3 linked regions of the Alligator mississippiensis genome follow. The protein of the gene in region 3 binds, or shares a complex with, the protein of the main gene of each other region. Links are inferred from orthologs where the notes say so. Each region holds a gene or a part of one and is shown on either strand. Other genes may lie near its edges.

Evidence for each region.
Region 1: EXOSC9 (region 3) and EXOSC1 share a complex: the UniProt entries of both Homo sapiens proteins name them as parts of the RNA exosome core complex. The link is inferred for Alligator mississippiensis from reciprocal best matches to the Homo sapiens genes EXOSC9 and EXOSC1.
Region 2: EXOSC9 (region 3) and EXOSC6 share a complex: the UniProt entries of both Homo sapiens proteins name them as parts of the RNA exosome core complex. The link is inferred for Alligator mississippiensis from reciprocal best matches to the Homo sapiens genes EXOSC9 and EXOSC6.

Annotation. Positions count from the first base shown.
Region 1 is NC_081829.1:100,691,111-100,698,672, reverse strand, and holds EXOSC1 (exosome complex component CSL4), read left to right. Parts: upstream 1-4,547; 5' UTR 4,548-4,618; coding exon 4,619-4,649; intron 4,650-4,735; coding exon 4,736-4,851; intron 4,852-5,135; coding exon 5,136-5,210; intron 5,211-5,749; coding exon 5,750-5,838; intron 5,839-6,081; coding exon 6,082-6,115; intron 6,116-6,422; coding exon 6,423-6,473; intron 6,474-6,610; coding exon 6,611-6,695; intron 6,696-6,836; coding exon 6,837-6,943; 3' UTR 6,944-7,180; downstream 7,181-7,562. Other genes in the region: MMS19 nucleotide excision repair protein homolog, read left to right, coding at 427-454; palmitoyltransferase ZDHHC16, read right to left, coding at 1,191-1,305, 1,407-1,477, 1,565-1,688, 1,800-1,885, 2,236-2,283, 2,430-2,563, 2,971-2,999, 3,127-3,215 and 2 more. UniProt on the Homo sapiens protein: Non-catalytic component of the RNA exosome complex which has 3'->5' exoribonuclease activity and participates in a multitude of cellular RNA processing and degradation events.
Region 2 is NC_081833.1:34,962,369-34,969,091, forward strand, and holds EXOSC6 (exosome complex component MTR3), read right to left. Parts: upstream 2,549-6,723; 5' UTR 2,433-2,548; coding exon 1,572-2,432; 3' UTR 516-1,571; downstream 1-515. Other genes in the region: AARS1 (alanine--tRNA ligase, cytoplasmic), read right to left, coding at 3,580-3,765, 4,154-4,267, 6,371-6,457. UniProt on the Homo sapiens protein: Non-catalytic component of the RNA exosome complex which has 3'->5' exoribonuclease activity and participates in a multitude of cellular RNA processing and degradation events.
Region 3 is NC_081825.1:114,555,955-114,563,875, forward strand, and holds the start of EXOSC9 (exosome complex component RRP45), read left to right. Parts: upstream 1-4,859; 5' UTR 4,860-4,942; coding exon 4,943-5,008; intron 5,009-5,084; coding exon 5,085-5,179; intron 5,180-7,316; coding exon 7,317-7,436; intron 7,437-7,555; coding exon 7,556-7,658; intron 7,659-7,921. UniProt on the Homo sapiens protein: Non-catalytic component of the RNA exosome complex which has 3'->5' exoribonuclease activity and participates in a multitude of cellular RNA processing and degradation events.

The sequences.
Region 1 (7,562 bases), on a different chromosome or scaffold from region 3:
AGGTCCTTTTACCCTTCCTGCTGCTACAGGTGTCGGTGGCTTCCCTTTCTCGGCAGCACTGGGTGCTGCAGCCCAGGCTGGGGATGGGGCTGGGCTGTGCCAATGCTCCTGCTGGCACCGACCCCGCAGGGTCCTGGCTGGAGGGTCTTGCCCCCACGCTCGGGCTCAGCCCCACACTGCGCTGGGTCAGGAAAGGATTTCCCCCTGCTCAGACTGGTGCAGATTGGGGGGTTTTGCCTTCCTCTGCAGCAGGGGCACGGCCTCGACCTGGGCACTGGAGTGCATTTTCCAGGCTCCATCCTGTCTCAGCAGGATGCTGCAGGGCTCTTGGCCCCTGCTCCTCCTTGTTGCCTCGGGCCTCAAGCTGGGCTGGCCATGCCTCCCAGGTCCTGCCTGCCCAATTCTGCTACAGCTCTTATCTGGCAGGTTCCTCCTGGGCAGCCCGGGCAGGTGAGGCCCCCGCCCGTGCCACCCCCTGCACGACTGACAATCGCACCCCACGCCTGGCCCGGCCGTGCCGCCAGTGCCACCAAGCTAACCCAACCCGCTTCCTGCCGGGACCAGAGGGCAGCACCTTCGCTGTGCCCACCCTGCACCCAGGAGCCCCCGCCACACAGGAGGGAGCAGGCAGGGCCCAGGCACGTGTCGCACTCCACATGCCACCAGAATAAACACGTGTGTTTTGGTACAGCAGCGTCAGGGTGTTGGCAGGCGCCGTCAGACCGGTGGGGCTGTCAGGTGGCCCTTGCGGCGACCTGCTGCCTCCCCATCCTTCCTGGCTGCAGTTCGCGCCCCAGGGCAAGGTCCCTATTTCTTTGCTCCTCGGAGGCTGCTGAAGCACCAGTGTTTAGACCAGCAGGTCCAAGCCGGCCCCTCTGCGGAGCTCCACACGGAGCCCAGCTGGACCATGGGCCTGTTCAGCTAGGCTCCCCTGGGCCAGACCAGGCAACAGCGAGGAGGTGGCCGCATTGGTTAAAAACGGGTTTTATTTGACACAAAAAACCCAGGGGGGCGGCCAGGCAAGGCCCCCTCTGCAGCAGAGGTGCTGGTGGGGCCGTGGCCTGTGCAGCCCCGTGCACCCTCCCAGGGGCTGCCTGCAGCTCACGAGGGGCAGGAGGGGGCAGAACAGACATCCGCGTTTGGACCTCAGGGCTCCGGGCACCGAGGCTGGGGAGGGTCTGCGCTGGTGGTCAGATGGCCAGCAGGGGTGTGTGCCGCTGCGTCACGCACGGGGGTGTGTCCCAGCTCAGGCCAGTGCCGTGGGGCAGGTGCGTGGATGGCAGCAGGACGCGGGTGAGCCAGTGCCTGGGAAGGATGCAGCCCATGGTGAATGCTGCAGCCTCCCAAAGCCACAGCCCTGGGCCCCCTGCACCAGGGTCTTGGGCTCGGCCTAGAGCCCCCCTCACCTGGGCACATCCACTCCGAGGAAGACCCGCCAGTTGTCCCAGGCGCCGAAGCTGTACGGGTTCCGGAACGCCTGCGGGAGCAGAGACGGGGAACGTGACGGTGACTGACCGTGGCCGCCTGCCCCCCAGGCTCCCTGCCCCCCAGCTCCTACGCTCACTTTGCCCTTCTTCTGCAGCCGCTGCCGCTCCTTCTTGTTGATGTGTCTCTCGATGCTGGTCTCCCCGCGGGTGATAAGGGCCGCGTGCCACAGTGTCAGCGCCCCCAGGGCCAGGGCCACAGAGCTGGGGGCAGGTGGAGGTTGGGGTCAGGGCACTGAGTCCAGGCAACCTTCCCCGCTCTGCGCGCCTGGCTGCATGGAGCTGCCTGCTCCCAGGGCCCAGCGCCCCCGTTACCTGCACAGCACCCACAGGTAGACGATGCTCTTGTGGAAGGCGCGCTGGCGGAAGGAGAAGGCCGGGGGCGGTGTCTGGTAGTAGGTCTGCAGGGAAGGACAGGTGGTTGGTTAGGCCCGTGGGGGCGGCTCTGCTCCCTCAAACCCCACCAGACGCCCCGAGAAACCAGGACCAGCCAAGAGGACCCTCCCCCGCCCCGCGCGCGCGCACACAGAGCAGACGGACACTTGGTGAAAGCAGCGGGGCAGCAGGGCAGGGAGCAGCTGCGTGGCAGCCTGGGGCATGAACCCCGCAGGCAGCAGGCAAGAGCCACGAGCTGGGGCCTTGGCCCTTGGGGCAGCTCCGCGCCCGCAGGCGCAGCAGAGCCCAGGCGCAGGCACATGCGAAGCAGCTGCCAAGGCCCGGCCTGCTGGCCCCGGGCGCGGGGATGTCCCACCTGGTTGGCGGCTGCCTGCAGGCGCTCCTTCTCGAGCTGTTTCATTCTCTGGGGGGATGGAAAACACGGCGCAGTTACAGGCCTCACGGCACAGGCGCCCCGGGGCCAAGAGAAGCCCAGGGCCATGTCTGCCTCTCCCTCTCTGTCTGCCCTGGAAAGCTGGAGCGCGTGCAGGCCGAGGTCGTGTCACTCACCTCGATGGCCGCATAGGCCTCACGGAACATGTCCCAGCCGCTGATGCTGCAATAGATGCAGCCCATGGTCATGAAGAGGCAGAAGGAGAAGAAGTAGCGGTGGTTGTAGTGCCCCACGCAGTTGTTCAACCAGGCTGCCCCGGATTAAAGATGGGTAACAATAGGAGGGGGCACCGCGCCACACCCCTGAGCCGGGCTGCCGTGGCGCTGCTTGGACTCAGTGGGGCAGGGACAGCCCCCCGCCTGCCCCCAGTCTCAGGCAGCTGCAGCTCCATCCGGCGCCTGCTACACCTGGTGCGCGGGGACCTGGAGTCTGCACCTGAGCCCTGCCCCTGGCAGCCTCGCCAGACACCCCTTGGCTCCAGCGCCATGTTCCCCAGGGGCCCTGGGACACAGCCCCCAGCAACACCAGGGCTCGGGGCTATGCTGCCCCTCCCACACGGTCAGCCCCAGCGCTCGGTGCACCCCAACCCCCCGACCCTTTCCCAAGAGCCAGGCTCCCTAGAGAGGGGCCAGCCTGGCCGGTGCTGCAGAAGGATACGGCAGTGATGGTCCATCTTGAGCACGCACCTGTGAGGAGAGTGGACGGCTGTGAGCGCCTGCCGGGGGTCTGGGGCGAGAAGCCACTGCAGGAGGGAGGGAAGGGGGGCGACCGCGCTGTGCTGCGGTGGGGGGCCTGTGGGACGCGGGTCCCTACCTGTTGCAGATGCTGCAGTGGTGGGTGCGCGCCGGCTTGGGGGCGATGCACTTGCGGCAGATGGAGACGCCGGTGAGGTCGCCCTTGGCCTGCAGAGGGAAGGGCGGTCGGCGCTCGAAGCGGGCCCCCCCGGCCCCCCCAGCCCCCGCGCCCTACCTGCGGCGGGTAGCCCGGGGCGGTGGTGATGGCCATGTAGTAGTGGAAGACGATCATGAGCAGGTTCCAGTGGCCGTAGCTGAGGTGCCAGCAGACCCAGGCGGGCGCGTAGGTGCGCAGGATGAGGGGCAGCAGGCAGACGTAGACGATGGCCACCACGGAGCTCGTCAGCACGATCACCAGCGCCACGAACGCCTGCGGGAGCAGCGCCCGCGCTAGCCCCGGGGCCTGGGCCGGCCGCCCCCCCGCCCCCCCGGCGCACGGCACTCACCACCCCGAACCAGCGGGTGACGTGGTCCACCAGCCAGTACACGGGCTCGAAGAGGGCGTCCAGCACCACGTCGCCGTCCGTGAAGGAGTTGTACAGCAGCGAGCGCAGGCTGAGCCGCCCGTAGCTCCACAGCTGCGCCGCGCGCCGCGCCAGCCGCCCCCGGCACCGCCGGCCCAGCCGCAGGCACCGCAGCGCCAGGCGCATCGCCGCCGAGAAGGTGCGTCGCCGGCTCCTCATCCCTGCCCTGCGCGGGGGCACCCGTCACGGCCCGCCGCGCCCGAAACCGGAGCCGCGCGGCGCGGCGCGGCGCGGGGGGGCAGGAGCTCGGGTGAGCCGGCCGGGGGGGGGCGGCAAGAAGTAGGGGGACAAGGGGGGGCTGGAGCTCAGGGGATGAGGGCTGGGGGGGAGCGGGGGGGCAGGGGCTGAGGGGGCAAGAAGTGAGCTCAGGGGACAAGGGGGGGCTTGGGGGGGCGGGGGGACAGGGCTGGGGGGGCTGGAGCTCGGCGGACGAGGGGGGGCTGGGGGGTGGGGGGATGGGCTGGGGGGGCTGGAGCTCGGGAGACAAGGGGGGGCTTGGCGGGTGGAGCTGGGGGGCGGGGAGACGGGGCTGGGGGGGCTGGAGCGGGGGGTTGGGGGGTGGAGCTGGCGGGAGCAAGAGCTGGGGGGCCAGGGCTGGGGGGGAGGAAGCGGGGGGGGCAGGGCGGACCCCACGCGCGCGGTCCCGGGGGGTGCGAAGGGCAGACACGCGCCTCCCCCCGCGCTGGCCCCGCCCCCGGCAGGCCCCGCCCCTCACTCACCCGCCGCCATCCCGGCCCGGCGGCCCGGCTGTCAGCGGCGCGGGGCCATCGCCGCTCGCATTGCGCCTGCGCGGGGCTCGGCGCGCAGGGCCCGTCGGGAACTTCTCCAGTGCGAACTGCAGGTCCCGGCGGACCCCGCGCGGCGCTTGCACGTGTGGGATGTCACGTGCCGGACCGGGCCAATAGTGCGTCGGCTTGCAGCGGAGCGGGGGATGGAGGCCAATGGCAAGGCGGCTTTTATTTCTCGTAGCGACGGCGCGGAGCAGACATGGCGCCGCCCGTGCGCTACTGTATACCTGGTAGGTGTCGTCCCCCCTCCCCGCCCGACAACCGGGGCCCGCCCTTCATGCGTCCCCCTCGCTAACCCCCCGTCCCGTCCCCGCAGGGGAGCGGCTGTGCAGCCTGGACGAGGCGGCCGCGGGCAGCGGCACCTACACCCGGCGCGGGCACGTGCACTCCGCGCTGGCCGGGGCTCTCCTCGCCCGCGACCTCGGCGGTCCGGTGAGCGGAGCGGAGCGGAGCGGGGGGCACGGCTCGGGTCCCAGCCTGCCGCGGGGACCCTTTCTGGGGGTGGGGGGGCAGAGTTGGGGTGAGAAGCTGGGGGTGCTGGGGGCCGAGCTGAGGTTCCAGGTTGGCCGGGCCCTGGGCCTTCTCTCCTGGCTGCCTTGAAGATGAGGGGGCCCGGCTGTGCAGAGTGGTGCAGGAGCCGCATGGGCTGTGGCTGCGCTGGGGCTGTCTCCGCGAGCGGCTCCAAGCTCACGGGGCACGTCCCTCCTGCCTGGCAGCTGCCCGTGGTGTCCGTGGTGCGAGACGCCGAAGCCCAGCTCCTGCCTGACGTGGGCGCCATCGTCACCTGCAAGGTAACGGTAGCCGAGCGCCCAGCCCGCTTGGGTGGGGGGCAGGTGGGGCTGGGCTTGCCCCGTGCTGCGGGTGGGCAGCCCCCGTGCCCGTCTCCCCGTCACGGGCTGGTGCAGGAGCCGTGTGGTTCAGCCCCGGATCCGTCTGGGTCCCGGGGAGCCCCTGCTTCCCACCGAGGGCTGCCCCCGTAGCCAGCCACGGGGCTGTGGGCTCCCAGTGCCCTGCTGGGGGTCACAGGGCGGTAACTGATCCGCTCGCACTGGTGGCTGGGAGGACTGGGGTGGCAGGAAGGATGCTGGGCTCCTTAATCTCTGGAGCTGGGGTTGCTGGAGCCGTTGGCTTGGGGCAGAGGCTTTGCACGGGGAAGAGCTGGCTTCTCTGCCAGTGCCCAGGCGCTGGGTCGCTCTGGTCCAGAGGCTGATGGGCGACGGGGTGGCGGTGCCGTGCTGGGCTGGGCTGATGCACTGGTGCAGGGGCAGGTCCTGCACCAAGGTCCAGGCTCTGCTGACCCAGCCGTGGGCCGGGCCCTGTCTCCCTGCAGGTGTGCAGTATTAACTCCCGCTTCGCCAAGGTGCACATCCTGTACGTTGGCTCCACGCCCCTCAAGTCAGCTTTCCGCGGCACCATCCGGTAGGCCCTGGCCTGGGTCAGGACTCCCCACCCCTTGCCCTGCCCCTTCCAAGGCAGCTGGCCCAGCTTGGCGGCTCTGGGGTCTCCATCTCTCCTTCCCCCCACACCCAGGCCCAGCCTCACATGCACCCGGGGGCCTGCAGCGAGGTCCCACAGGCAAGCCCAGGTGGGCAGCGCTGCCTGCGGCTCTAGGGGCGGAGCAGGCTGCACTCCCAGTGTTAAGCTCCCCATCTCCCCTTACAGGAAAGAAGACATCCGAGCCACGGAGCGGGACAAGGTCAGTGGTGTCCTGCCTGTGCTGGCAGCGTATGACAACTGGCATCTGCCCCTCCTCTCACCGCAGCCACAAGGATGGCCGGGGGGAAAAGGGTGTTGCTGACCCAGAGGGTCCCAGCCATGGCTTGCATCCCTCTGGGGGGAGGTGGGGTCCAGTGAAGGGGGGAGGGTCTATTCCTGTGGAGGCCTGGACTGCCTGGGGCTGCTGTCAGGTCCTGGGGCTCAGCAGCCTCCCCCATGGCTCCTGGTACTCACCCCAGGAGCCGGTGGCCTCCCCCACCCCCTAACCAGCCCATGCTCTGCGGCAGGTGGAGGTTTACAAGAGTTTCCGCCCAGGGGACATCGTTCTGGCTAAGGTGGTATCCTGCCCTCACTGGGGTGCGCGAGGAGGCAACAGGGCCTGGTGGGACTTCCCTCTCTCACGGGTGGGGGGGTGTCCTGCTCGCCCAGCACATAACCTTGCAGGCCAGAGCCCTTTCCTTGACCACCGGAGCAGATCTCGCTGGGTGACGTGCAGTCCAACTACCTGCTGAGCACGGCCGAGAACGAGCTGGGCGTGGTGGTGGCCCACGGCGAGGCAGGTATGAGCGGGACTGCGGCTCCAGCAGCATAGGCCCCTTCAGTGGCTGGGGTGGGCTGAGCTGTGTCCCCTGCTCCCCAGGCTGCATGGGGAAACAGGAGGAGCTCTCCTGGGCTCTCGGTGACACTGCACTGGTCCCTAGGGGCACGGCTGGTGCCCATCAGCTGGTGTGAGATGCAGTGTCCCCGGACGCATACCAAGGAGTTCCGCAAAGTGGCCCGTGTGCAGCCCCAGTTCCTGCAGACCTAGGCTACCCCGTGCCCCCCGGCAGGATTACCTGAGCCAGGAGCCAGCCGGAGCCCCCTTCACCGAAGTACCTGCAGCATCACCTGGACTGGTGCCCACGTGCGCTGGGCTGGGACTCAGGCCTCCACCAACACCTGCCAGGAACCGGATGCAGCTCTGGCTCCCTGGGCCCTGCCCGTCCTGCCCCCAGGCAGGATTTTAGATTCCCAAGCTGTGAACAATAAAGGCTTTCCAAACCCCTCCCCTCCTTGGTGATTCCCAGCCCTGAGTGGGGGCAGGGTTAGAGGTTGCCTGGGAGAAGCCGGTTCATGGCCCTGCTGGGGTTGCAGCCTGTGCCAGCACTCCTGCAGCACTTCCTGGGCCGTCTACACCAGGGTGTGGGGAGCAGTGGACTCCTGGCTTCCAGGGCTGGGGCAGAGAACAGGCAACCTCTAGCAGCTGCAGGGTCTTCTAGCCTGGGTCTGTTGCTGTGTAGAGGATGGCAGGGGCTCAGTGTCCTGCGGCTGTGAAACCTGTGGGTCCCCCCCAGGCTGGACCAGGTGGAGCTGCTTTGCAGTGAGTCTGCCCTCCCCCCACCTGGTTGGAGCAGCAGGAAACAATGGTGGGCATTGAACGACTATTC
Region 2 (6,723 bases), on a different chromosome or scaffold from region 3:
GCTGCATTAACAAGCAAGCCCGTTTGGGACCACCCATCAATTTTTGGGGAGGGGTGGGACTTCAAGTGCCATTTAGCCAATCAGAGGTGTGCCCCCCACCACAAAAATGGCACCCGATGTCTTGCTGGGACAGTGAATTTGGAGGCAACCACTGTGAATTAGGTAGGTCCCTAATCATAAGCTGTTCAAACCTGCCGTTTCATAGCCAAGATGAAATTTGTTGCTCTCAATCCAGATCCAAATGCAGAGAGGTATCTACAACACTAAGCAGAGGTTAGTATACAAACCAAACAGAGTGATCCCTGTGCTTCAAGGCTGCAAATAAATGGGAAGTGACACAAACTGCCATCTGAACTACACCAGAAGTGTGAGTAAGGAAGGACATTTTAGCCTGAAATGCTGGTGATCAGGGACTTTCCAAAGGCCTTGATTTCACTGAAATATTCCCACCAAAAGACTTACCGAATAGGAACAGGTGACTTAAGACTCAAAAACAGATCACAGCCAGAATGAGGTAAAGTTCACAGTAAAAAGTACAATTTATTATATTAAAAAAATATCTCTCTCAAGATATTACCTGGATACATTCTCTTGGGTGGGGGCATACAAATATCTTATTCATGAACAGCATTTTGCCAAGATACGGTGCTACCTGGTGCTCAAGTTTTAGTTACAAAGTCTAAACTCAACAGCCAAACCATCATCCAGTCCAGTCCATCAGTAACACAGCTCCACGTTAACATGTGTCCAAGGGCCAAAAGGTCACAATGAAAGCATATTCAACACAAAGGATCTTGTTAATAATTCCTGTAAGGATAATTAACTGAGCTGTCTTGTTCATTGGTATGGCCAATGTGGAATTAATAAGCAAAGAACCAATACTAGCAAGAACTGCAGCCAGAGAGGGAGAGCAGTCAGTCCTTGATTATAAAAAATGAGCAAAATCACAGTAGCGTCCGCCAGTTTGACTTCCACAAATTTCAGAGCCAAAAACACAATTTTCAGGAAAGAAATACAATTGTCTGGGGAAGAGCGAAGGTCCAATCAAAAGTTACAAGAAAAATTGTAGAAAAGAAACATTTGACATCATGTAACCAAACAGATTTTCTGCTGACCAGACAGCACTACTTGTTCTCCAGCAACCAGCTAAAGAGTTCCCTTTAAAATTTAAGACCAGGGAAGCCACAGCACATGTTGAATGCGAGTTGGCACCAGACTACTGAATGCAGTGGACTCCTACCAACAAAAAGATGGCGCCGCTTTGAACTTCAAGTGGAAACACCAGCAAAGAAAGTCTGCCATTCTCCAGGGCATCTCCTGGACTGCAACAGGCATGAAGAGGGGCAGGAACCATTCGGGGCCAAACATGCTTGAAAACCCATGCAGGGGCACAGGCAGCTGCGAGACGAATGGCGTCCGGTGCGGGCAGGGGTGGCTGGGAAGGCGGGGTCTGTGCCAAGTCCTGGTACCGGGTGGGCCTCGGGCTGCAACACGCAGGGCCGGCGCCTTCCCGCACGGTCTGTCCCCGTCGTCACCGACGTGGGCTCCAGGCGCCGGCGCGGGGTGCGCCCTCAGGCGGTGGCTGCGGGCGGGCTGTGGCTGCCCCCGCCCCCGGCGGCGCTGCGGGCCCGGCGGCGGGCGGCGCGGAGCAGGCAGTGCCGCAGCAGCGGGTAGAGGCGGCGGCAGCCGTCGAGGCCGAGGCGCACCGCCTGGGCCCAGCTCTCGGGCGCGCCGCCCTGGCCGCCGCCCAGCAGCGCCGACACCTGGTCGAGGGCGGGCAGCAGCGCCACGGTGAGGCGGGCGGCGGCGTCGCGCTCCTCGCGCTCGCTGGGCTGCAGGCGCCAGGCGGGCGGGTCGGCGGCGGAGGGGGCGGGCGGCCGGCTGAGCGCGCAGGCCACCACCAGGTCGTGCATCTCCACGCCCGCGTCGGCCAGGGCCAGGGCGGCAGCACTGACGGCGGCGGCGAGCGCGGAGCCGCCGTCCTGCAGCAGCAGCGCCGCCACCTCCAGCTGCGCGCGCGGGTAGCGGCCCAGGCGCACGGCCGGCTCCAGCGCCTCGCGCAGCGCCAGCGCCAGCTCCCGGTCTCGCCCGCCCGCCGCCGGGCCGGGCCGCAGGCGCGCGCCGCGCCGGGAGAAGGGCGCTCGGCGGAAGTCGCAGAGCAGCCGCCCCCGCGCCGCCGGCTCCGCGCCGCCCGCCTCCCGCGGGCCGTACACGGCGCACAGCACCTTGGTGCCGCCGCGCAGCTCCACGTAGGCCGAGCCCTTGGCCTGGCTCAGCAGCCCCGCGCGCGCGAACAGCGGCCGCGGCGCCGCCGGGTCCCGGCCCGGCCCCGCCGCCTCCTCGGCCTCCTCCGGCTCCGGCTCCTCGGCCGCGTACAGCAGCGGCGACTGCGACTCCTCCGGGCCCGGCACGCGCCGGTGGTCCAGCGGCATGGCCCCGGCCACCCGATCCCGATAGGCCCAGCCGCTCACCCGCCTACACGGAGCGCCCCCTGCAGGCCCGGAGCGCGGCCGGGGCCTGGCCTGCGCGCCCCGCCCCCAGCGCGGCTCCAGCCACTCAGCGCCCGGCCCCGCGCTCAGGGCGCTCCGCCCCCAGCCCGGCCCCGACCCTGGCCCCGCGGAGCGAGCGAGCATGGCGGGGAGCGGGGCCCGACCGGCCCCGGCCTGCGCCCTCGCCCGCTGCTCCCCTGCAGCGACGGGCGGCCCCGCGCCCCTCCAGGGGAAGCACCTGTTAGACCCACGGCGCCGCAGGGCGCACAGTCCCATTCTTGGCAAAGCCATAACCCCCTCTAACCACAGACTGAACATCTGCCTTCCCAGCACACCCCCACTTCTTCCACCCTAACAAAACTGCAAACCCTGGCCTGGTTCAATGACAAATTAACAGGGCACACATTGCAGATGGCCTTTATTAACACTGAACCTATTCCTCATGTTCCCATACAGGTAGGTCTGCTCAGCTAAGGCAGTGAGGTACACCTACATCACATTAATTTAAATACACTATTACTGTTGTCAATAAAGTGAGTAAAGGGCTTCCATGTTATCTACAGAGAGGTCAGGGAGTTGGGTGACAGGTTGATTCCAGCAACTTTCCAGAGGTGGGCTCCTGCCTCCAGTGGTTACAAGGGGACAGGAGTTTGTGTGCAGACTCTTGGCTTTGATGCGTTCTGTGGCTGACAGTATTTATTACTAATATTTAGCACATCATAACAGTGCTCTGAAGACTTTACAAACTGCTAGTGCAATCCTTACTGCAGGCCTTGCAGAGAGGCCAGCATTATCCTCACTTTACAGACAAGGAACAGGCTTCCCAGACATACAACAAGATTGGAGCTGGCATTACAACTTCTAAGCCCCTGTCTCTCTCTCTTCCTTGTTTAGATCTCTAACCCATGATGCTTCTTTTAGTTTGTTAATGCCTCAGCGAGGGGATTCAGAAGGAATGATGTGCAGCGTCTTTGTCTCCAGCGATGTCGCTAGAGTGAATGGGAGCCCGGTGACCAGGCTGATGAGAAAAGGAGAGAGCTGACAGCATTCGCTTCTTACCTGTGCAACGAGCCAGCACAGGGACATGGAATCAGTTCTTCAGCTCGCCAAGGCAGAGCTCAGCAAAGTCCGTGGCCAGCTTCAGAACCTCCTGCAGGCACCCAACATTTTTGCCTGTTGCCTGGGCTGAGACATCTTTCCCACCACCTTTGCCATCCATCAGTGTTGACACTTCCTGCACCCACTGGTTGGCCTTCAGGCCCTTGTTGGCTGCTTCCTGGAAAAGAAGAGGGCAGGGTTTAGGTTATTACAACACAACAGCATTTGCTGCTGGAGGAAGATGCCTAGATGAACACTACTTCAAGTAACTGTATCTGATGGAAGAACAAAGCTCTACCTCCTTGGCAGTACAGTACTTAACTTGCTTTCTTGTATGGCTCCAAATGTAATTTAGCTGAGACACAGCTACGCTAATGCAACAACTACTACCAGTATCCCAGTTAGACGTGATAATGAGAGACAGAGGACACATGGAAGCCCCATTGCTGACTGCCTGAGCATAAGCTGTACAGGAAATCTGCAGGTCCTACTGCTAGGAAGAGCTCTTAAGCTCAGCCTGAAATGCTTTGGGCAGACACACCCAAAGGGCTCTGGAAAAGTGTTACCTGAGGTACTTGGCATAAGCAGGTGATCTTGCCAGCTTCATTATCTACTGCGAAAAGCATGGCAGCAGTCTGAGGAGAATGAGTCTTGAATAGCTTCAGAGATTCATTCAAGGCCTGTAGAAGGAGATACAGAGAAAATTACACCAAGAACCAGCCGGCATCATTCATCTTTCAGCTGGCCTGGCAACACATGCTGCAAATCCCTACACAGATTCCTTTGCTGCTAGATAGCTACAACAGTCCTGCTGATATCAGCAAACACACTCTACTCCCAGGCAGGCATTCTGAGTCAGTATCTTCTGTACCTCGCTTTTGCAGCAGTCTGCATCTCTGCAGTGCTTGGTTTCTGTTGGGTGCAGTAAAGCTGCATGTACCCTTCTTGAGGCTGGCTGTGGAGCTGGCATCAGAGGAAGAGCAGAAGCAGCTTGCTTGCCTGGTCACACCAGACTCAATGCCTGGAGATCTGAGCTTCTGAAGTCACATAGAGACATGGCTCCCTAGCTTCACTCATGTTCCCTGTCCAGCAGCAGGACTGGAGCAGGAGAATGCTCAGTGCCTGATTTGTTTCCCATCTTGGGTTGTTTGGGGGCCAACAAATGTATGGCTCTGCAACCATAAAGCAAGTGAAAATGATCTGCAAGCAAGTGATACATTAGGAAGGGGAAGGGACAGCAGCTTAGGACAGAGGTGGTGTGAGCCTTTCCTTAGCAGGCTGCTGGACTGAGGTAAAGGGCAACCCATTCTGGGAGACCTGGAAACTCTGCTGTGCCTGCTGCTACTCTCTACTTAAGAGCAGCTGGAGTCAGCAGGGATGGAGGTCAGAGTGCAAATGCTACAAGGATACAAAAGTCTTTCCCACAGCACACCTAGACTAATGGACTAGGTATAGGCAAGTCCTTGAGTGCCAGGCACCCACTATTTGCAAAAGATTTGACACTTCATATCTCACATAGAAAGACCTGCTGTATTTAGAGAGCTCCTGAGACAGGCTAATTAGAGGTCATTTGATGATGCCTCTTAGGGGACATATTCACGGCTCCACCTGTACAGCTGGCTGCTGCAGTCCCCAGGGGTCACGCAGCCCACTGTTGCAATCCACATGCTGTGCGCTGCTGTCATCCCTTAGAGGTGCAGGCAATTGGCTACTGCGCAAAGAATGTGCCAACAGCTCAATGCAGAGATGCTGCTGGGCCTGCTGCTGGGAACACTGAAGATGCAGCATCTGTACCAACTGCAGTAATGGTCCCCAAAACAAAATAGCAATTTTCCCCTCCCACACAGACATGAACAGCATTTAGATACCATGGAGATGAGAACCATGTAAGAGGGTGAGTGGGAGCCTATAAACAAAACAGGATCAGCTGGGAGTTTGCCCATGCAGAAATTTAAATTGGGGCATTACAACTTGATGGTTAGTCTACAGTATCATTAATTGACACTGTTCATTTCCTATTGTTGCCTGGCAGCAGCTCATCACTGCTGGGACCAGCAAACAAGGGGGTTTACCCACAACAAGCTTCTCTAGGGGGTAGGAAACCCCCCCTTCCACCTTGACAAGAATAGACAGATTCAGCTCATGATGCGAGACAGAAGGGTAGGGACAGCACTGGTCTGTGACAAGCCCAGCTGGATGGGTTGCAGAATCCAAGAAATGGGAGCTGGAGGACAACACTTTTCTAGCACTCATTCAAGGCTCTACCTAGCTGCTGTATGGGAGCCAGTGCAAGATACACTGCATTTCTCTGCAATATCCCAGCTGACAGAGCTTCATTGCTTTTCTTGGGTAACTACCCTGCAGGCCCCACTGTTAGAAACATTTTCAGCCTGCATTTTCCCTCATCTTCTAATTCCTAGCCACCCACTTGGGTGGCCCTTACTTGAAGCAGGGATCCCCATCCTGATCCAGACACTAGAATCTGAGATGGTGAAGAAGAGAGTCTGAGGGACAAACAGAGGTGTTGCACACTTCCGGGTAGGAGGTGGCTTTGGTTAAGCCAGCAGAAAAAGTGCACAGACCTAACATGAACTAATTATGCCCTCCACGACCATCTCAAAGCCCTGGCCATGGTTGGGCACCTGCACAGCAGGCTCTGTAATACATGAGGCTGTGAAAATCCCCCCTCCATTCCAGGGGCCACAAACGGAGAGGCAGGTTTCTGAACTTTCTCAGGGAGTCCTAGACACGGGAATGGAGAGTATTGGGACTAGCTGTGTTACCTTTGCTGAAGCGCCACTCTCCATTTCCAGAATTACAAGTGGCTGGTTAGGGTGACTGTCAATGAACTGCTTGGTCTTCTCCAGCACCTGGAAGAACAAGCAGATGTTCAGACAGATGTGAACAGACACAAAAACTGTTTTTTGCACACAAGGGCTCACCAGGCAAACTGAAAGAGGTGCAACAGCTAACCTGCACCAACTTCTAGTCACTGATCACTGACCATTCTGTACAGCTGATATGGACCCAAAGGGGAAGGCCCAGGCTGCCAAAGCAGGAACAAAGTGTGGAAGAACATGATGCAGCACGTGAGATTTGAAAGGAGGCAGCACTGCTGCGTACCCCTTCCCAATAG
Region 3 (7,921 bases):
TCCGGATGTCCACCAGTAGGTTTTTCATGGACTGAAAGCACATAAAATCCAAATCCATTATTGGGTATGTCATCTATGCAATAGCTGTACCCATCTAAAAGAACAACCAAAAGAAAATAGGAGGTGGTTCAAAAGGTTGAAGTAAGGACGGGAAAGGTTTAAGTTAGATTGGGATCCTGGTAATAGACACTCATATAGATACCATCATATGGTGCACCGATGAAAAATGTGAAGATGTACGTTTCAACTTTAATGCCTTTGTCCTACTATATTAGAGACCACCATGCAAGGCCAACATTAGCATTAGAGAGCCATCCTTTTCTGGAGAGGAGATTTAAGTGTGAGAAAAGTGTAAAAAATCCAGTTGAATAAGCAGTTTATGTGAACTTGAATCTGAAAGCTGAGGCAGCATACTTTAGCTTAATAGGAGCTAGTGTTTTAGGCACATGGATTTTTTTTGTACCGATGTATCGCAGAATCAGTGGGGAGAATGGTCTAATTAAAACAACATTAAAAGCAGAAGGCTGTTCAGGGTGATGCATGGAGCTAAACAGGAGTTAAAGATGAAGGGTGTTCCAGTGCTAAAGCTGGGACATTAAAAAAAAATTCACAAAACCTGGTAGAAAGGAGCTACAATAGCAGCAAAAGATCTTTACAAGATCTTTGTCGTAGTCTACAAGCACAAGAGAGGAATAAAGGGTAGAAACACTAGTATGTAAAGATCACCTGTCAATATGTTCTACCTTTTGTTGAGAAGGAATGTTTGTCTTTTGATAAAGTGCTTCTTGGAAAAACTATACTAATAACTAGGCTCCCTTTGTATTACATTTTAGAGCAGTTTTTTGTAGTAATTAAATACCTCATCTAGCACTTTCAAATATTTCTCCAAAGCAGCTGTTGTCAAGTAACTGCTGTTTACATACAGGAAAAAGGAGGAGCAAGGGAGGAAAAAAATGCCAGTAACACTTGCTTTATTTGCTCACGAGAAAGGAAGGCAAGTTGTGAATTTCCAAAGGCAAACAGGTGCATGTATACTGCTGGCCTTTAAACAAGAATACAAACTTAGGGTAGCAGCCTCAACCTAAAGAAAGGGACCAAAAACCATTATAAATGCTTAGAACAGAAAAATACCACATCTCTGCAGTAAAAGATCTGAACTAACTAGCGATAAAGAGAGGTTGTTAGCTGTGTTAGTCTGAAGTCAGACAGAAGGCAGGGCAGAGTTGCGCCATATAGACAACTAATTCAGAAATACGCATGTATAAGGTGCAACTCCACTATAATTTACAGATATTTGCTTCTGTAGGAAAATACCATATTTTCTTGCATATAACCCACCCCTTCTCCCAAAAAAACAGCTGAGGAAAATTGGGGTGTACCTTATATGCAAAGAAAAGGGATGCCCATGGGCCTGAAAATTTGGAGAAGGGGAGGTAGAATGTTGGGAACCTCTCACCACTACCTCCCCTACTATAACATTTCCAGACCCACAAGGAACTTCCCTCTCTAACCACACACCAGATCAGACAGGCACTTGGGGTTGGTATGCAGCCAGACTTGGTACACCAAGTCCAACCCAGCACATGGGCCCAGACGCAACATGCCAGATCTGATCCTGTGTGCTGGGTCCAGAACAATGTGCCAGAATGGACCCAGTATGCCAAGTCCCCATACTGGGTTTGAAGCCATATGCTGGCTCCAGGGCCACACATTAAGTCTGACCCCATGTACTGCCTGGGACTGTATACTAGTTCTAGCAAGCATGTGGAGTCGGACTTTCGGCCCAAGATCCAGTGCATTAGGTCAGTCCACAGACCCAACCAGCATGCAGGGCTGGCAGCAGTCCCAGCTCCCAAGCTGCTGCCACTCTTACCTCTTTCAACAAATTTTTCTTCTTCAGGTTCCCCTTCAAAGGTGAATACTATAAATGAGGGTGTGCTGTATGAGAAAAAATACAGTAGCCTGGTGTTACCTACTTACATTTATGCTAGTGAGTAGAGGTGCACTGATAGATCAGCACTGATAAAAGGAAAATTTATGTTATTGGCAATCAGCTTTTTTTGGCTGATGTGGCTGATGTCACCAATAAATGCCCCATGCATGCGTGCAACTGCACGCATGTGCACAGTCAAGAATGCAGCCTGGCAGCTTGGAGAGTAGCATCCAGCTGGTAAGTCTGTAGGGGAAAGGGCATAGGCAGATTGAGGCCCCCACAGCAAGGGAGGGAATAGGGCAGGGGCAGGCACTGCCCAGCTTGGGCAGAACACAGGACAGAGCCATGGGCGGCTCATCCAGGGGGTGCAGGTCCCACTGCTGCATGCACCCCTGGGGGAGGTATAGGGGCATGTGCCTCCTGGATTTGTGTGCGGGTTGAGGGCAGGATGCCCACTGCAGGATTGATGCTGGGGGCTGTCTGTGCTGGCCTCTTCCCAGCGGAAGGGGCTAGGCAGGAGCTGTGGGCAGGGTGGGCAGGGGCAAGGCAGGCAGCAGGGAATTCTGGGGTTGACATGCCCCCCATGTTTCCTCTGAGGGTGCGAACAGTGGTGGGAGCTGCTCTCCTCCTGCCTGGATAAGCTACCTGTGGCTCCATCTTGTACCCCACCCTGGCCAGGCAGCACCTGCCTCAGGCCCTGTTGCACTTTCTCCCTCGCTGTAGGGGCCTCGATCTGCCCTCACACAACCCTCCCCCCCTAGACTTACTGGCCAGATGCTGCTCTCCAAGCTGCCAGGCTGCATATTGGCTATCAGATCAGTATCAGCTGATATGGCTGGTAAATAATTGGCATCAGCCAAAAAAATCTTTATCAGTGCACCTGCACTAGTGAGAGACACCAGGGGTCTGTGCAATTATGCAGGTGGAGCAGCTCCTATTGTTTTTAACAAATTATTTTAGCAGTATAAGGATAAGAGTATTAATGGAGTATTGATAATGGGTATTAATAAACCCAACCATTTTGGATTTATAACTAATTAATTATAAACCCAAATCAGTAACACATCCTTTTCCCCCACACATGTATGTATTTTTCAAGGGCTATAGGATTTGCTTCCTCTAAAGTCTGCATAGCTGTCTTGAGGGTGACTACTGTAATATTCCTAAGGTTATACTGTGTTGGCTTTTTCATTTTAGTAGCTGCAGGAGCTGCATGGAGATGCCAGTTTGATCAGCCTTTAGGATGGGCTCCATCAGTGCACAGGGCAAATGCTTGGTTACATAACCATTACTTATTCCAAAAATATCTTGAGGGTCTGGTAAATGAGTTATTCCAAATACACATTTAATTTATACAGTTTTTAGAACCAATTTTCAGAAGTAAAGACAGAAGATTAAGGGTTAGAAGAGGCAGGTTTACTAGCAAACGTTTCTAAGGCTGAAGAAAAATTACAGATAGAAGGTTTTGGTTTTATTTATAATACAAGTTATGACAGGACCACCATTAATTAATATGGCAGCCCCTTGCAGAAAAGGACAAAAAATTTTGCACGAAGCCTGACACTTGCCAAAAGGGTTAAAGGCAACTACGTTAACAGCAGCAGCTCAGGATCCACCTGGCTCTCTGGATGTATCTTAAGGTAAGTAGGCATGCAGCTGAATCACTGCAAGAGGCAGCTTAACCAGCTATTCCTGGAGCTGCTTGCCTGGCTCAGCAGAGAGGAGTAGAAGTGGTGTGAAGTCCTGGATTGCCATGCAGCTCATGTTCACTGTGGTGCTTCCTTGTGCAATTCAGGTTCTCAAGTGTTGCCCCCCCTGCCCAGGCACAGCTGACCGGGGGTGGGGGGAAACAACTGGAGCCCTCGTTTCTCCAACAGCAGGAGCAATGTGTCCTCCTTGGGCTGTCCAGCTGCCATATCCTGGGCAGTTCCTGAAGCATCCTCCTGAATTAAGGCAATCAGGACTCATAGTAGAGAAGATATCTTTTATTAGACCAACAAGATGTTTGCAGAAAAATTGCAAGCCACTTAATCCTTTAATCCTTACTAAACACAAAACGCCCACATCAGGCATTGGAGAAGATTGTAAAAGTTCTCCTGGGTAGCAATGAAAGTTTGTATTTCCTAGGATTTCACAGAGGAGTCAACAGATGGAAAACTCCTAAGCGATGAACTGACTGCCCAGAGTTTTGACTCCTCTGTGAAATCCTATGAAATATGAACTTTCATTTCTACCCAGAACTTTCACAATCTTCTCCAATGCCTGATGTGGGTGTTTGTGCCCGGAAGCTTGCAATTAAAGCTTTTTTTTTTTTTTGCAAAAATCTTGTTGGTCTAACAAAAGATATCACCTCGAGTAGAGTTCTGATTGCCTTTTCCTCTATACCAATATGGCTACAACCTGGAGACCTGACTCCTGAACTAACACTCAGGAGTTAAACCTGCTATGTCAACAGGCAATGTGAATCGGCAGGGTGCTGCCATGGACAGGGATAGCCCAGCTCTCCTCACTAATATAACTGACACAGAGGCGGGCATGCCCACATCAGGACAGCAAGTATCACATTTTTTTTGTCATCATAGAAAATGCCGGTTGGGAGGGACCCCAGGAGGGCACCGAGCCCAACCCCCTGCTCGAAGCAGGACCATCCCCAACTAGATCATCCTGAGCCAGGGCTTCAAAACCTCCAAGGACTCAAGAGGCCACGACCTGTGCCAGCGTTTCGCTACTCTCCTGAACAAGCCCCTCGCCCACGGGCCCCGCCCCGCAGAGAACAGGCTCCGCCCCAGCCCGGGGGGTGGCGGGAGCACACAACCCTTAGCGTCGCCCCTTCTACAACTCAGTGGGAGGGTGAAACGTCTCCTGTGTTTTAAAAGCGGCGGCGCGGCCGCCACCCCCCCGCCCAATCAAAAAGAAGGCGCGGGTCCTGCCGGCGCCTGCGCAGTGGTATCTGTCGTACGGCTGATGACGTGACAGGGTGCGACTGGAAGACTGGTAAGTCGCGCCACCATGAAGGAGACGCCGCTGTCCAACTGCGAGAAGCGCTTCTTGCTGCGCGCCATCGAGGAGAGGAAGGTGTGAGACCAGCCCCCCGCTTTCCCGTCTTTTCCCCCCACTTTTCTCCCCGCTGATTCCACTCTCGGCCTTGCAGCGCCTGGACGGGCGGCAGAGCTACGACTACCGCAATGTGCGCGTTTCTTTCGGCACCGACTATGGCTGCTGCGTCGTGGAGCTGGGGAAGACCAGGTAGCGCCGGGCTGGGGGAGGCGCAAGGAGGTGCATGAGCAGTGGGGCGCACGAGGCTGGGGCAGCTGGGGCCGCGTGCAGCCTCCCTCAGTGACGGGAGCCGCGGCTGTAGGGCCGCGCGCAGCTGTTCGGGCCTGGGAACACGGGGGGCGCATGCGCGGTGCCTCGGGCGCGCCTGCCTGGTACTGCGCGTGCGCGCAGGGCTGCGAGGGGGTTCCTGAGGGCAGCTCCAGCCCCAACCCCTTCTGTAGTAGGGCGGGCTCTGCCCAGTGTTGCCCACTTCGTATCATCCTTCCAGCCCTTGTACTATGTACAATCAAGAATAATAAGCGTTCAAAATGTACAATGATTTTTGAGGCAGCTCACTGATGCAGGATGGGTGAAACCTGAGTCACTCTCAAGGGAGTCTTGACTGACTTCTGGGTTTGCTGTCAGCACTTTCTTATGTCTGCCTGCCTTGAATAAAGAAATGCTGCAGCTTTGACCCAGTTCTCACTTAGTGCTGAGTTACGGTGATAAATATAAAGTAAATAAGAAGAATTATTTGCATCCTGCTGCGGCCGAGGTGGTTAACGTGTGCTGGGAGATCCCCTGGAGAGGCCCTGCTACAGATGAAGGCAGGAGGCCCCTCCATCCATACCAGCCTGACCCTGGGGGGAAATTCCTTCTTGACCCAAATACATCAGTCAGTCTGACTTTTAGCAGGATGAGACCCTCTTAGCTAGGACCTTCTGGCTTTAAGTCCCAGCAAGAGTGCTGGCACACTCCAGTCTCAAACCTCAGCCATGTCTGTAGCCAACTCCTGGTTCCTCTGAGGAGCGCATGGTGGGGAAACAAAACCCTATCACATCTGAGTTGTCAGTGACTTGGGGCATTTTTACATGTGCTGTGGGATGCAGTGCCAGGAACTTTAGTTAGCAAGCTGCTCTAATTGCATGTCATGTGTATTGGTGTCCCTGCGCTGAAAGAATGGCAGCTGGGCGCTTTGAAATAGAGCTCATTGGACATGTTTTATTTCAAAGCACCCTGCCACCATTTTTTAGTGCAGAGATGCATGGCAACGCTGATGCACGTGACTCGGAAGGCTGCTGGAGTGTGTCAGTTTCCACGCTCCAGCAGACCTGATTGATCGAGCCTGCTCTGACATGCTGGATTTCCAGTGCATTGGAGCAGGCTCTGCACACATGTATAGGAGCCCTTGGAGACACCCTCGCTCCCTCTTACATTGCCAAGTGCTATGTTACCCAGGTTACAAGTAGCCTTGTGGATAGACTGCTGCTAAAAGGGGCAGAAGCAAGTCTCCAGGCCCACTTTTTATTTGCTTGTACTTGAAAATGCAAAAGCAAATGTTTATCCCAAAGTCTGCCTGGCTACCTCTGGCAGCATAGTATAGAGTCTCACTTATACCAGCTGGGGAGACGTAAGAGGCAGGAAGAGGGTGGCACGCAGATTGGCAGCAGGTCTTTTTGAATTTGATGAGTTCTCCAAATTTCCCTCCAGCTGTACCCAAGATTTACAGGTGGCTGGTTGTAATAATCTAATAAATGATTTCTGGTTGGATTGGATCTAAAGATCATGTCTCCCCCCAAAAAGTCCCTTGTGTAATAGTGCAAACATCAGTGGTAGTGCCAATACCAAGTTAAACCAGTACATGAGGTTTTACAGGATTGAAGCTAGCAGTTACATACCCTTCATGGGTGTATGGGGTTTCACAGTGTATTTAGTTGTAAAGCAGGCATGTGTAAACAAGTGTTAACATAACTTTGGATATTTAATATCCTACTTGTGACTTTGTACAGTAATCTCAAATGGAGCTTTGCAGTCCCCTATAGATGGTATCTCCATTTTTCATGCGGGGGGTGGAGGGGGGGAATATGAAAGATACAAAATTTGGTAAATTCTTCTAGCTCACAGTGAGAATAAAAGCTACATTTTAAACTCCACATAGCACTCTACTGCCTAGTTTCTGTTAGTGCCCTAGTAATGGTTACCTTGAATACATTTAGCTGTCTTGCTTAAAAAATAAACTGAAAAAATTGGGAGGTGTAAAATACAACTCATGTATGTTGTGCAGTGTTTAACTTCTTTCTGTCTTCATTCTGAAGCCTGTGCTTCTGGGGGTGATTTTCTTTTGCAGAGTCCTTGGACAAGTCTCATGTGAACTTGTTGCCCCAAAGCCAAACCGGGCTACAGAAGGTATACTTTTCTTTAATCTTGAGCTCTCTCCAATGGCTTCACCAGCTTTTGAGCTGGGCAGGTACGTGGCTTTTGCTGCAGTGACAGCAGGTAGGATTGATATAAGGATGACCATGGTGTCATTGTTCTCCCTTATTAATAACTCACAACTTAAACATGTGCATATTATGTCTTCTACAGGCAGTCTGAATTGCTGGTGAAGCTGAATAGGTTATTAGAAAGATGCCTAAGAAACTCAAAGTGCATAGATACTGAATCTCTTTGTGTTGTTGCTGGTGAAAAGGTATGAAATACTCTGAAATCCAGAGCTTTTTAACATTAGGGGTTTAACAGGTTGCATATAGGATTTGGTTTCTGTTGTCTCTTGAACAATAGTTCCTATGTTTGTTTTAAAGCTCTAGCCCAAGTGACTTGTGCATATGTAGCTCTAAGCATGTAGTTAGTGGGCCTATGTAATAGTAAATGTTTGTAGGAACAGAATACTTTAACTTTTTACTTACTAATAGCATGTTACCCAGTATGGAAAACTAACATGCCGTTTCTCAT